3 linked regions of the Saccharomyces cerevisiae S288C genome follow. Changing the gene in region 2 together with the main gene of any one other region gives a genetic interaction. Each region holds a gene or a part of one and is shown on either strand. Other genes may lie near its edges. The genes, in order: EUC1, YNL234W and KTR1.

The links.
Region 1: mutations in YNL234W (region 2) and EUC1 together harm fitness more than expected from each alone (negative genetic interaction), as found in Saccharomyces cerevisiae (one large-scale study listed by BioGRID).
Region 3: mutations in YNL234W (region 2) and KTR1 together harm fitness more than expected from each alone (negative genetic interaction), as found in Saccharomyces cerevisiae (one large-scale study listed by BioGRID).

Annotation. Positions count from the first base shown.
Region 1 is NC_001145.3:490,979-495,435, reverse strand, and holds EUC1 (Euc1p), read left to right. Parts: upstream 1-1,643; coding exon 1,644-3,032; downstream 3,033-4,457. Other genes in the region: FOL3 (dihydrofolate synthase), read right to left, coding at 1-437; MED11 (Med11p), read left to right, coding at 941-1,336; HFD1 (hexadecenal dehydrogenase), read left to right, coding at 3,444-4,457. UniProt on the Saccharomyces cerevisiae protein: Transcription factor-like protein that binds to specific DNA motifs called ub-HS-motif associated with several locations where proteins other than histone H2B are ubiquitinated (ub-hotspots).
Region 2 is NC_001146.8:208,634-214,204, forward strand, and holds YNL234W (uncharacterized protein), read left to right. Parts: upstream 1-1,599; coding exon 1,600-2,880; downstream 2,881-5,571. Other genes in the region: SIN4 (Sin4p), read left to right, coding at 1-1,221; BNI4 (Bni4p), read left to right, coding at 3,289-5,571.
Region 3 is NC_001147.6:509,951-515,306, reverse strand, and holds KTR1 (alpha-1,2-mannosyltransferase KTR1), read right to left. Parts: upstream 3,483-5,356; coding exon 2,301-3,482; downstream 1-2,300. Other genes in the region: Ras family GTPase RAS1, read right to left, coding at 1-63; CRC1 (carnitine:acyl carnitine antiporter), read left to right, coding at 1,029-2,012; FG-nucleoporin NUP1, read left to right, coding at 4,129-5,356. UniProt on the Saccharomyces cerevisiae protein: Mannosyltransferase that transfers a mannose residue from GDP-mannose to a range of acceptors in vitro, forming an alpha-(1->2)-D-mannosyl-D-mannose linkage.

The sequences.
Region 1 (4,457 bases), on a different chromosome or scaffold from region 2:
ATACCACAACATGCCTTATTTGCGCCTGGAATAACATTGGTCGCATCAAGTCTTCCGCCAAGGCCTACTTCTATGACACACCATTGGCACTGCACATCATAAAAATATTTGAATGCGGTACATGTTAATAGCTCGAATTCCGTACATTTTAAAGAGTGTGACTTGTTTAAAGCTTCTAGTTGTAATCTAATATTCTGGTATCTCTCTAACGGAATCGGCTTATTGTTGATTGTAATGGAATCAGTAACATGCACCAAGTGTGGAGTGGTAAATTTTCCAATTTGGTAGGACTTTTGTTGCAACACAGAAGATAGGTAAGTACATACTGAACCTTTACCATTTGTCCCTGCAATGTGCAGCACTCTAAGTGAGTTTTGCGGATTGCCTAAATGCTCTAGTAGTTTTGTAATACGGGAAAGTCCCAATTCAATGGCCATTGATATAGCAAAATACAATAAATACACTAGATCAACTTACTAACAGGTGACCTTATCGGTCTATTCAAAACATTTACATTATAAACAATCCTGAGTTTTTCTGCTCAATTTTTAAATAACAATTATTCATAGAGGAAAACACCCGAACTAACCAATGTTGTAGAAGGGCCTATAAATAATATATATAACACAAGAAATATGGTAACCAGGACGTAGCCACCGTATGAGAAGCTTTGAAACATCCAGTGATAAAAAAATCTTGACTTTATTTATATATATGTATATTGGACATTTTAAAAACTTGATTTAAGTCGCTCATTGCGGCGGCTTTTATATTTTGAAAGTAATCGAATGAGTACGAAAATCTGACTTGGACAGTATGCAGGCCCTCATCTTAGCGGTTTTTTGACCCAGTCGTTAGATCTGCTAATTCGATTCAAATCTTCTCATCAAGCCAGAGGCGCGCTTATTAGAAGGACGCTATCAAATCCAAATGAACAACGATGCAGGTTCTCAATACGAAGAGTGAAACGAAACAAGAAAACGAAACAATGCAGCCACCATATATACAAGAACGTCTTAAGTCATTAAATGATATAGAGACCCAGTTATGCTCCATGTTGCAGGAGGCGTCTCAAGTCACGTTCATATTTGGTGAACTAAAAAGAGGTAATGAATCAGTGAAACCCCAATTCGAAAATCATGTCAAACAGTTTTACGAACGACTAGATAAATCAACCACACAGCTACGCAAGGAGATACAGTTGTTGGATGAGAACGTTGGAACACGACTACTGCCCATCAATGTCAACAAGAAGGCCCTAGGCCAAGACACAGAAAAAATGGAAGAACAATTGGATTTATTGTCGGCTATATTAGATCCTTCGAAATCCAAGTAAACCTTAATTAGGACTAGAACACTTTTGTATCAAGTACAAATGTATAATTATATAAACATCACAGGGATATCATATTCCATATGATGATATAGCATTTACTTTACTTCAACCAGTATTGTCTAAAGAGAACGAGTTTAGTATTAGTAAAAAAATTAAAAAAAGGAAGCGTACTTGAAACTCAAACACAAACGAGAGTACAAAGGGCATTGCTAGCTTAAAATATTTAACAATCAACTTCGTCTTTTGCCAGAAGACTACATTTTGTGCCATCGAGAAGTTAGTCCAGGAGTCAACACATTAATTAAACATGCCCGCTCGAGAATATAACTATGTAGAAGGTTTTGGTGGGTACGGCTCGTTGGACGATGATGATTCAGATAGAGATTCTGAACGCAGGAATCACGATCTAGGGCAGCGAACTATAACCACAAGTCCAACAGGAGTATCAAGACATGCTGCATTAAATAGGTACATGATCCCAGGCCGTATCAATCCTCTTTTCAGACCGACAGACGCTGCTCAACCTCCCATAGTGTCTACATCCACATCAGCATCGGCAACAGAACCGACCAACAGAATAGGCCCTGGAAGGATAAAAGAAACCCCTGAAACAAATTTCAATGCATTTCTTATAGCACAACTAACCAGAATGGAGGAGCAAAATGCCAATCTGAAGGAAGAAATCAGCCTAATGAAAAAGGAACAAGAACTCTTCTTTCTAGAGAATCAAAAGAAGTTGGAGAAAGGATTTAAAGACATCAATAAGTATGTTGAAGATGTTTCCGCAATGAAAGAAGTCTTCAAAGAGGTAGTTGGTATTATGACTGGGGAGAGAATAAGATTTATAGACCATACTGGGGAAAATGTTACTCCTCAGGAAGCTGCTCGTGTTGGAAATCCATCAACAAGTACGCAAGCTCATCAAAGTCAGTCAAGATCAACAAACTGGCAAGAATATAGTATGCACGCAAGCATATTAGCCGGCGATCCTCGTATCAAGCCTGAGCCAGGGCTGTCAGACTTTGAAAATGGGGAATACGATGGTAATGAAAGTGATGAGAACGCTACCACCAGGAACCTACCTTTAAATAACCCCGATTCTGTTAGCAATGCTGATGACAGTAATAACCAACTCGATGGAACAGGAAACGAGAATGATATCAGAAACAGAAGAGGGTGCGTTGGAACGTCATATAAACTAAATCGTGCAATCCAGAACGTTACAGATGCGGCCCGTGAATACTTTGAAGGCTTACCGGGCCAACCGTCAGTTCTTTCCCTTGAGAGGAGATATGGGTCCACTTGGAGGCGATCTGCCAAAGAAAGGACTTTGTTCACTAAAAGAATGACCATCATAAAAAGAATAATAGATATAAAAGATGATCCAAGCAAATATGGTTTGTCGCTACCTGAGAATAAAATAAGTAGAAACCAAGCCATCAAGGTTGTCGAAAATATAAGATTGGGAAACAATACCTTCAAAGGACATCATTGCCGATTATCAATGTCCCAGTTATACGAATACTTCTCCAAAAAAATGGACAAACTCGAAGACTATTCACTTACTCTAAAGAGAAGAGGGAAGCCAAGAAGAATTTTCTTGTTAGAAGAGAGAGAAGCTAGATTATCATTACAGCAGCCACATAGTATACCAAATTCCAGTACAGGCACACCAGAACATGATCAAGACACTTAGAGGAAATGGAACAACGAATTTCCAGCCAAAAATTCCGAGTAGTTCATGATGAAAGATTTTTACATGCATTTTATATATAAATATATACCGTCCTATATGGATTTCATGCCAACAGGGTATATAATAGACAATTACCGGTGTACTGATATATCAACTATCGACTCCAAGCCTTTTATCTATCAGTCAATTTTACATCAAGATCCCACTTTTAGATAGGTTCGAAAATTCAATCTAATATTAGTGATTTAATTAGATGGTGGATTGCTTACCCTTTTTTTTGTCGTTTTAGGAGGAGATTCTTCGGATTTTAGGGATAAACGGATACTCCATATATAAAAAACAAAACTTCAGGCATATTGATTATCTAAAAGGAATATTCTAAAACCATAGCCATAGTAATTTATCACCAACATGTCAAACGACGGCTCAAAAATATTGAATTATACCCCAGTGTCTAAAATAGATGAAATAGTTGAAATCTCAAGAAATTTCTTCTTTGAGAAACAATTGAAATTGTCCCACGAAAATAACCCAAGGAAAAAAGATCTAGAATTCAGGCAGTTGCAGTTGAAAAAACTCTATTATGCCGTCAAAGATCATGAGGAAGAACTGATCGATGCTATGTACAAGGACTTTCATCGGAACAAAATTGAATCGGTTCTGAATGAAACGACCAAACTTATGAACGATATACTTCACCTAATTGAGATTTTACCAAAATTGATCAAACCTCGGAGAGTATCTGATTCTTCTCCTCCATTTATGTTTGGTAAAACAATCGTGGAGAAAATATCAAGGGGCAGTGTCTTGATTATTGCTCCTTTCAATTTTCCCCTACTTTTAGCATTTGCCCCATTGGCAGCAGCTCTTGCTGCAGGTAACACCATTGTTCTGAAGCCAAGTGAACTAACACCACACACTGCTGTAGTTATGGAAAATTTGTTAACCACAGCTGGTTTCCCTGATGGATTGATTCAAGTAGTTCAGGGAGCTATAGATGAAACTACAAGACTACTAGATTGTGGAAAATTTGACCTAATATTCTACACAGGTTCTCCCCGTGTCGGATCAATAGTTGCTGAGAAAGCAGCAAAAAGTCTAACACCTTGTGTACTTGAACTTGGTGGTAAATCACCTACCTTTATTACAGAAAATTTCAAAGCAAGTAACATAAAAATTGCTTTGAAAAGGATTTTTTTTGGTGCTTTCGGAAATTCTGGCCAGATTTGTGTTTCACCAGATTATTTGTTAGTACATAAATCTATCTATCCAAAAGTCATTAAAGAGTGTGAATCAGTACTAAATGAATTTTATCCAAGCTTTGATGAACAAACAGATTTCACTCGTATGATTCATGAGCCTGCTTACAAAAAGGCCGTTGCAAGTATAAACTCAACTAACGGCTCCAAGATTGTGCCTTCAAAA
Region 2 (5,571 bases):
TTGACCATCGCTGCGAAGACGCACATACTCAGAATTTCATTCTTGGATAGAAAAAGGGCCAAAGAATTTATTACGACTTTGTTGAAAAGCCTATACTCGTTTTTCAACATTTCTCCTGATGCGCCTAAAGAGATTATGGATAAAATAATAACAAGTAGGCCACTTCAAAAAATTATGCTATTGCAGCTGGAACTTGGCAGTTGTTTTTCGCAAGAAAATATTGAAGAAATGGCGAGAGTTATACTCTACTTGAAAAATGTTTTGTTTGCGTTCAATGGTGTGGCGAGAAATTTTCATTTTGCGATTGAACAAATAAGTAATAATTCTAACCAACAACAAAACCCGAAGTTGTTCCAGACTATATTTTCAAAACAGGATCTCATTCATTCATTGATTCCTGTTGCTAAATGGTTTGTCAAATTTATCACTTATTTGACCCAAGAAATTTTAATTTTAATAAATGATCCCACAAACAAGGAATACACACTAGTTCACGGAATATTTGGAGCCAAAATGTCCAGGACTTTGATATTGTCTATTCTTAACGAAATCAAGAAAGTCACCCAAATAGTGGCGAAATTTCCAGAAACATCATACCCAATTTTAAACGAGTCATCAACTTTTTTGAAACTAGTCTTATCTGAATCACCAGTGGATTTCGAAAAATTTGAAACGTTTTTAGTTGATGTAAACAACAAATTTATCGCGCTATGCGAACAACAGCCATCACAGGAACGTGAGTTTTCGTTGTTGGTGAAAGCTGAAATCCCCCCAGAATATGCCAAAGTGGGAGATTTCCTCCTGCAGTATGCTAATAATGCAGTGATTTCCCATGCGAATGCGGCTGCAGTATATTTTGCAGATACAAGTGGCTTGAAAATATCTAATTCAGAGTTTTTCAATCCCGAAATATTTCATTTATTGCAACCATTAGAAGAGGGATTAATTATTGATACAGATAAACTACCCATAAAAAATAGAACCTCCAAATCTTTTAGCAAATTACTGTACGACGATGTAACCTGTGACAAACTGAGTGTATCAGAAATATCCGATGGGAAACTTAAGAGATGCAGTAGGTGCGGTTCCGTCACAAGAGCAGGAAATATAATATCGAGTGATAAGACAATTGTACCCACTAGCATCCAAACCAAAAGATGGCCAACCATGTATACAAGACTGTGCATATGTTCAGGTATGCTTTTTGAGATGGACGGCTGATTATTAGTACTATAGCATAGTTTTGTATAGAATTGTTTTAAACATTTCACTTCTCGACTTAATAAAAAGAAATGAGAGTGACAGTGTCTGGAATTTCTTTCTTCTAGAATACCAAGGGTACGCATTTCTCTCCTACGGAATTTTCTGTGCAGATGTCCCGATCTACGTGGCAGATAGTGAAAACTCCGTAGGCAAAAGGGGCATCGGAAAAACCTCTTCAAAAAAAAAGGTTTTTAGGCTCGAACGAGCCGGAGCAATAATGTTCCTTTGAAAAATAGCAATCGTTATGCAACCATTTTATATGAGTCTGCCCCTCAAGGGACTCGCCACCGGACCGCTGCAGTTGTTTGCATTCATCCACATATAAGCTGGTTGTGTATGACAGGAGAAAAAATACTTCATTCGCAGTTGTTAACCAACAGCGACATGTCTAGCGGGAATGTCCACCATACGAAACCGATGATGTACAACGTAACCCTGCCTTCCTACAACAGCAGTAGTATAGGTCCAGTCGATAATTTGAAAATAAACGAGAGACCTGGCTCTCATGATCATTCCATGAGAAGTGAAATGTCATCCAAAAACTCCGGAAGCGATTTTATGCCACAATCTATTTCACGTTCCGAAGGTAGTGTCTACCAGGTCAAGATAGATCGTGGTGACTCCCCGAATACAGAAGGATTCGACTTTAAAGTTAATGCAAGAGATCTGCTGTTACTTCGAATGTCCTGGGATATCCTCCTCAGGGAGTATTTAACACCTAAAGAATTAAAAGTTTTTCAAGCACTTCTGTATTCCAATAAACATATTACTTCAACAGAAAGACCCTATTTGAATACTGCTCCTGACGGTATGATTTCCAAAACTATTGACCCTACTGCCAGGCCACGTAAAACAAAACAAAGGGACAATGATAACAAGGTTGATACTGCACTATTTTGTTCACAGTTTTATGACAATTTGATTGCAATGGATCCCTTGTTAGAAGAATATTTTCCATCATTAAAACATCAAGCAGTTTCGTTCTGTAAGGTCCTTGATTCTGCTATTGACAACCTTGAAAACGTTCATGTCCTAGATGATTATATTGTGAAATTAGGAAAACGCCATTCCAGAATTCTCGGCATCAAAACCGTTGGTTTCGAAGTAATGGGAAAAGCATTTATGACTACATTGCAGGACAGGTTTGGATCTTTTCTCACACTGGAACTCAAAAATCTATGGGGACAACTTTACTCATATTTGGCAAATTGTATGATTACTGCAGGGAAGGACCCAATGGAAAAGATTCAACCAGATTTTTCGTATAATGGTGACTCTGTGGTTTTAAATTTTTCCATTCCCAAACTTGCGATGCATGATATAAGTACAGTTAACAAGCTACAAATGGTGAAAACTAAAAACGCTACTATACCTCATAATATAACACAAGTACCGACAAATAAAATTCCTACAGAAATACTCTTAGACAATTCTTCTACTCCAATAAAAAGCGACCGTGAATCGACGCCTCCAATCTCACCAAAGGGCTCTGGAAGTACAAAACCAAGCATCGGTAGCAGTACCGTCGTGGAAAGTAATACCAAGAAAAATAATTATGATGAAAAAATCCATTTATTGCAAAAAACTGCTCAGCAGAAGAACTGCTCGATTATGTAACTACAACCGTACCATTAAGTGTATAAGTTTCCCAGGTTATATTATATATTCTTTAGATCACTGCCTGTTCTTTATTACCCGCGAGCTAATCTTTGTCTTATATAGGCGCGTCAGCGGAGACGCGTCAAGTCAACTTCTCTCTTCTATCGTCCCGAGTATGAAAAATCATTTCAGATTCGAAGAAATCAGATTGGCTTTATATCTTCTTTAGAACAAGACGTGTAATATTCTCACACTTAGAGTTGACCCCCTCAAGTTCGCTTATTAGTACAGGTTTTGACTTTGCAAATAAACAACAGGAAAAGCGACTCAAATAAATTGACAAAGAAATCTCAACAACCAGAGTGCAAAAGCCGTACGAGCAGCGTTTTTATTAATAACGATATATCACTACGTATTCAACAGAATATGTCGGATAGTATTTCAGATTCAAAGTCCTCAGAACTTTTAAATTCTACTTTTTATTCGTCGACGTCGATAAATACACTTGATCATGCTAGAACCTTTCGAAATTCTCTGATATTGAAGGAGATATCAGATCAAAGTCTAAATTCATCAATAAAGCCATGCGAATCCGTCCTTGATAGGGATGTTGAAAGCTCAGTTCTGCAGCGGTCGTTTGGAGAAAGTAATGCCCGAGACTCAGAAGTACAAACGGTAAATATGACAACTTCCCCCTCATTAAGTGCATTGGCTGATATTCTGAACGAAAGATCCAAATATGCTGACCAAAAAACTAGAAAGGCACAAAATATTGAGTCTTCCATAATAGAAGAAGAAGAAGAGGCCGAAGAGCAAAACAACTCGATCAATTATCACGAGGATATAACTGGATCCAGGCTGTCTGTACGAGAGGAAGCAAATGAAAACTTGGCGATGACCTCTCCAAACCTTATTGACATTGACGGATCCAATAGTATTCAAGTTGCCCCTTTGAGTTTACCGTCTTTCGAAGAACCTGACTTTTTGTCCACTCCTAGAGTAAAACCTGATTCTCAGGGACCTCGGAGCAAAGTTAGTACACGACGTACTATTCTCGAACGAGACAACAATTTACCAGTTAAGCGGGAGGAAAATACTATCATTAATTCAGAAACTGAAAGCACAACACATAGCGCACCATTTTTAAAAGAGGATCCGAAACCCTCGCCTCCTTCGAGTAAATTATACAACCCAAAAGTTCGTTTAAACAAAGCAGAAGCGCGAAAGTATACTGATTCTTCTGCCCAAAGGACTACTTCAGCAGGCTCGGTACTTGAAGACACTTCTATGCATAAAAAGAAAAAGAGTATATTTTCATTTCTGAAGAAGAAAGAACCGAAACCAGTTATTGGTAATAATAGTGTAACGAATGAAAAAAATAAGATGTCTTCATCGAGCACTTTCTCAATGAATATTCAAACCTCTTTAAAAACGCCTGAAAAACTAAAGAAGAAGTCTCACAGTAGCAGTAGCATTTTCAATTCCTTCCTAAAGGGAAAAATTGAAACATCAGACTCACCTCGAAAGGAACCAATGAGGCAAAAAAAAAGAACCCCAAAATCCAAGGACAAAAAGCAAGATACTGAACAAATAATTGACGCCGCATCAGTGTTATCCACTGAATCACCTCTACTACGAAAAAACCACGACGATACTCCCGTGAAAATAGATCACGTAACGAGATCAATTGATCAGAGAAAACCTACTCCTTTAAACATGGATCTCATATTGGGAGGTGATAAACAGATAAATACCCCGCTACAAGAACACGTAAGAGAAGATGATGATGCCAAAAATGATCTTCAATTACCAACCAAGGATAATTTTTTATCACTGGACTACGAAGCACCCTCACCAGCATTTTCCAAACACGATACAGGTGAGGTTCTTTTCCCAAAATTTTTGGATAATCATGAAGTCGACTCGATCGTTTCTTTAGAAAGAACAAGATCTACAAAGTCTAACAAGAGAAGTTCAATGAACTCGCAAAGAAGGTCATTGACAGATACGCTATCGATCAAAGCGCAAAGTGAGGGAATGTTCATCACTGAGGCATCTTCTGTTGTATTATCTACTCCAGACTTGACGAAGTCTCCTGCTAGCAGCATTTTAAAGAATGGAAGGTTCGAATACTCAGATAATTTCTCCAGAGAACACTCTTACGAAGGTACCACGAATGAGGACTTTTTAGATATCAAGGACGATAGTGGTCCACTAAAAAAAGATGACATATTTTTAGAGTCTATTGAACAAAAATTTGACCAGCTAGTGATGGCCTCTGATGAAGAAAAAACTGAAGTTGAAAGGGATGTACCAAAACCAAGAGAAGAACCTCTGAAGAAGGATTCTGAAAGGCAAAGCGTTTTTGCAGATGATGATAACGAGTTAATTTCTGATATAATGGAGTTTGCAAGTTTTATTAACTTCGGTGATGATGATCTCAATCTAGACCTAGACTTGGGAGATACAACGGCCTCATATGCAACAGAAACCCCTGAACCTGTTGGAAATGATGAAGTAAATCGCTCTGGTACTTTTGATACACGAAATAACAAAGAGGATAGTTACAAAGAAAGAGAAACTCAATCTTATTCCGCTGCTGGAGCTACTACATACGGAGATGAGCGTCAAGGTCAATTACATACATTTGAACAAGACGGAAGTGAAATAAATGACAACGAATTTGAGAATGAAGATTTCAACAAACAC
Region 3 (5,356 bases), on a different chromosome or scaffold from region 2:
AACGCCACCTCCACCGACAACTACTATCTTATACTCTCTTATAGTTGATTTATTTCCCTGCATGTCGTTCTAAAAAGGGAAAATTTTGTTTACCTGTTCAATCGTGAAATAGCCAAACCGAAGTCAATTGTGGCAGCAGTTAATTAAGCATTGCAAGAAAGAACAAGACAGATGATAATAGAGACACCGTACAAGAAAGAATCCAAATTAAGAGAACCATACAAAGACATAAAATATAAACCTTTCAATGTAAAACAAAAGGAGGAAAAAACCTGAAAAGCCGTGAAAAATTCATAATCTTGCGATGAGTTGAAAAAGTTTGTTGTCAAATGTCCATAGACTTACATGTAGTAAATATTTTTGGTTTCTTTTTTTTTCTTCGTGCTTTTTTTTTTTCCTACGGGTTTACATTGTGCCAATGTGAATTTCCCCGCCACTCCCTACCGAACGGGTAGCAGCGTAGAACATAGCGATCAAGGGTGTGCTAAGTGAAGAAGCAATTCAGTGCGGGTAATACATATTCCTAGCCTCGTTTGCCGTTACATTGCATTGATGGTACAATAAAGGGCATGCTTTATATCGAGATGTTTCAGTGTATATGAGGGGAAACAGAAAAGAGTCATTCCTGCCATTTTTTGGTCACTGCTTTTTCTGCTATGAGTAATGGTGAAGTTCCTTGTGGCTACACGCTTAATGTCATCGGGTTACTGCTCCTAATATCCGCATATAAGCTTTATGCAGGGATCAGTTGGGCGGCTATTTATCTACACCCAGTCATCCGGCGTGACTGGATCTCCACTTGCCGCAATAAGTCGGTGGACAAATGGAGATTTAAGAGTAAAGATGCATGATGGTATAATTCCTTTAGTCGAAATAGATATATTTCAAGCGCATATATAGGCAGACGCTTGTACTGTAGAAATAGCCGATATTCAATTGCGCTCTATGTGTGTTTTTATTCCAGGTTTTCCTTGGATTCTACGTATTGTACGACTTTCTTATCCTCCACAAACGTCATCGTGTCAGTAATGTCTTCAGACACTTCATTATCAGAATCTTCATTATTGAAAGAAGAGAGTGGGAGCTTGACCAAGTCTCGTCCACCTATAAAATCAAACCCTGTACGCGAAAATATCAAATCATTTGTGGCCGGTGGAGTTGGCGGGGTATGTGCGGTGTTTACGGGTCATCCCTTCGATTTGATTAAAGTGAGATGTCAAAATGGACAAGCGAATTCCACGGTACATGCCATTACAAATATTATAAAAGAAGCAAAAACTCAAGTAAAGGGCACATTATTTACCAATTCCGTAAAGGGGTTCTATAAAGGTGTTATCCCGCCCTTATTAGGTGTTACTCCCATATTCGCTGTTTCTTTCTGGGGTTACGATGTGGGTAAGAAACTGGTTACTTTTAATAACAAGCAAGGAGGCAGTAACGAGTTAACTATGGGACAAATGGCTGCAGCAGGATTTATCAGCGCTATTCCTACCACTTTAGTGACTGCGCCAACGGAAAGAGTAAAGGTTGTCCTGCAAACATCTTCTAAGGGCTCTTTCATTCAGGCGGCTAAAACCATTGTTAAAGAAGGTGGCATAGCTTCTTTATTTAAAGGTTCATTAGCCACTTTAGCAAGAGATGGGCCTGGCTCAGCTCTATATTTTGCATCTTATGAAATTTCAAAAAATTACTTGAATAGTAGGCAACCTCGTCAAGATGCGGGCAAAGATGAACCGGTCAATATCTTGAACGTGTGTCTTGCTGGTGGTATTGCTGGTATGTCGATGTGGCTAGCTGTTTTCCCCATAGACACTATAAAGACAAAATTGCAGGCTTCCTCCACGAGGCAGAATATGCTTTCCGCCACAAAGGAAATTTATCTACAAAGAGGTGGTATCAAGGGATTTTTCCCTGGTTTAGGTCCTGCTTTACTAAGATCTTTCCCAGCCAATGCGGCCACATTTTTAGGTGTGGAGATGACTCATTCACTGTTCAAGAAGTATGGCATATGATTAAATTTTTGTTAGGTGGACCTGCCTCCCATTTTTTTCTGGCATTCCTTTTGGGAACTTTTTGTTATTTTTTGGTTCTGCAATTTCGTTCAGTGTATGGTAGAAAATATCAGTTGGGTTATCCCGGTTTCCTTGGCGTTGTTGTCGAAGCGTTCATATTTGTAACGCAATGGAGTAAATATAAATGTGATATGTAAAAAAAAGAGTTATAATTTATTCTGTTTCTTTAAATAGTATAAATAAAAAAAGTGGAAAATACAAAGACAACGTGGGCTGATTACAGTATAATCAACCGATATGGTTTTGCCAACCAGCAGGCTTTGGCAACTTGTTTATATTGTAGAATTTAGTAGTACATGAATAACTGTGCCATGTGAAATCTTTGCTTGGATCACAGTCACATTTGTTAGCCAGTCTGATACTTGTGTCTATTGGACAGGAGTGAAATGGAACATGGTAATAACCAATATCACCGAAGTGATGGATTTCAGAGCGGTCCAAGAACAGCGCAGCACCAATAGAATGAACTGGAGCATCACCCCATCTTTCATAAAAGAATCCACCTTCACGATCTAAATAATCAAAATATGCGGAGTATGCTGGAGATCTCCACAAATCCAAAGCAGCAATTTCAAAATTAGACCAAAAATGGCACAAATTGTATGAAAGTCCCTGATCGTCGCTAACAAAGTCTAACATATTATTTTCATGGATAAGCTCAGGATGGGCTTCCATGAATTTACGAGTAGTCTCCCATAAAGTGGGGATAGTAGCTTCATACTCCTTAATGGAAATGGCAAAGGCATACTTTTTCTTATTGTCTTTCATGAATTTGAAGACATCGTAGTCGATATCACAGTGCAACTTGATATCAGGTTCCACACGCCAATACCAATCGTAGTCATCCATCAAAGGATGTCTGTAAAAGAAGCCTGATTCAAAACGACACATGTGTCTGTAAGAGATAGAATCACCGTAGATGATTCTCTTCTCACCCATCTCCTTCCTGACTTGAGCGGCCTTTTCTTCATCAATCCACTCAGGGAAGGACCAATGTTCCTTTGGGATGACACCGTATTTTGTTGTACCACTAACTAAAGCTGACGTAACGTTTTTGAATTCATCAGTGAACTCTTCATCATTCAAAAACACCCAATCATAGTTGAACTTGGAGTTAAATCTATCTTCCACGGATTTAATAGACTCAGCCAACGAATATAGATCTCTATTACGCACTAGAGTGACAAAAGTGGCCTTTTCCCGAGGACCGGTATACTTTGGTAGTTCCACTTTCGAGTATTTATAGCCCGAGCCGGAAGATAGCACGGTACTGTACTTTGGGCTTGGGGCAGAGCCTCTCGCATACTGAGCTCCATGAAAGAACACATACACAGTAAACACGGCGACCAGAAGAAGTCCTAATTTTTTGTAAACAGGCTGCTTGCTAGCTGGGATCATAATCTTCGCCATTTTGGTTATTGACTCTATCCCTTAAAAACTCTTCTGATGGAGTACTTTACTTCGATTGCTTAACGAAATCTTTGTGAGGAAAAAGATATCTCTTAAAATTAGAAAGTACAATAGTCTAGCGTATTATACTAAGAATCTGCAAAAAAGAAGCAAGAAGGCACCACCTATTATAGACCTTTGACACGAAGTCTCTCTGGAGTGCTTTGGCCTACGTGTGCGGTACTCGTTTACATGGGACAACCACGGTTTTTTTTTTGGTGTTACTGGAGGTATACAGTGCGTATATCCACTTGTACGACAAGAGATTTACACTACACCGCGTAAAGAAAACGCCGACACCAAATATAAGTCACGTGTATGCAAAGCCTATTTTATGCCCTAATTTTCAAGCCCCGGTTTTTACGCCCTAGTTTTTATATTTAGGGTTTGTCGTTGCACGTGATCAATGGTTCGTATTATGTGACATTGAAATGCTTTTTCATTTTAATTTTTTTCTTTGACGAAATTTCGTAATGTCAAGAAACACTTAAAGAAAATAAGTGATGAGGAACTCAATAAGGACACTACGTAGCGGTGCAAATACGATAGGATATTAGCCTCGAAAGGGTTATAGGGACAGAGAGTGAGCGACAATTTTTAGTCATTCATGTCTTCAAACACTTCTTCTGTGATGTCTTCTCCACGTGTCGAAAAGAGATCGTTTTCTTCCACTTTAAAATCATTCTTCACAAACCCCAATAAAAAACGGCCATCGAGCAAGAAAGTTTTCAGTTCAAACCTCTCATACGCGAATCATTTGGAGGAATCAGATGTTGAAGACACACTGCATGTTAATAAGAGAAAGAGGGTGTCCGGTACATCACAGCATAGCGACAGCTTAACTCAGAACAACAATAATGCGCCAATTATAATATATGGAACCGAAAACACTGAGAGACCGCCGCTTTTGCCAATTTTGCCCATTCAAAGACTGAGGTTATTAAGGGAGAAGCAGAGGGTGAGAAATATGCGTGAGCTTGGATTAATTCAATCAACTGAATTTCCATCTATTACATCGTCGGTTATATTGGGCTCTCAAAGTAAAAGCGATGAGGGAGGATCGTACCTATGCACATCATCTACTCCTTCCCCTATTAAAAACGGTTCTTGCACTAGGCAGTTGGCCGGAAAAAGCGGTGAAGACACCAATGTTGGACTACCCATTCTCAAATCATTGAAAAATAGATCCAATAGAAAAAGGTTTCATAGTCAGTCAAAGGGGACCGTGTGGTCAGCAAATTTTGAATATGATTTGTCAGAATATGACGCTATACAAAAAAAGGATAACAAGGATAAGGAAGGTAACGCTGGCGGTGATCAGAAGACAAGCGAGAATAGAAATAATATTAAGAGTAGTATTTCAAATGGCAATCTGGCTACAGGCCCTAACCTGACAAGCGAAATTGAAGACCTACGTGCAGACATCAACTCTAATAGGTTATCGAATCCTCAAAAAAATCTACTTTTAAAAGGACCAGCTTCCACAGTTGCAAAAACTGCCCCTATTCAGGAGAGCTTTGTTCCCAATTCAGAGCGCTCTGGTACGCCTACGTTAAAGAAAAATATTGAGCCCAAAAAGGACAAAGAAAGTATTGTTTTGCCCACCGTAGGTTTTGACTTTATCAAGGACAATGAGACTCCATCTAAGAAAACTTCTCCTAAGGCAACTTCTTCTGCAGGTGCAGTCTTTAAATCGAGTGTAGAAATGGGAAAAACCGATAAGTCAACGAAAACTGCCGAGGCGCCTACCTTATCATTCAATTTTAGCCAAAAGGCTAATAAAACTAAGGCTGTCGACAATACTGTCCCTTCCACAACTTTATTCAATTTTGGTG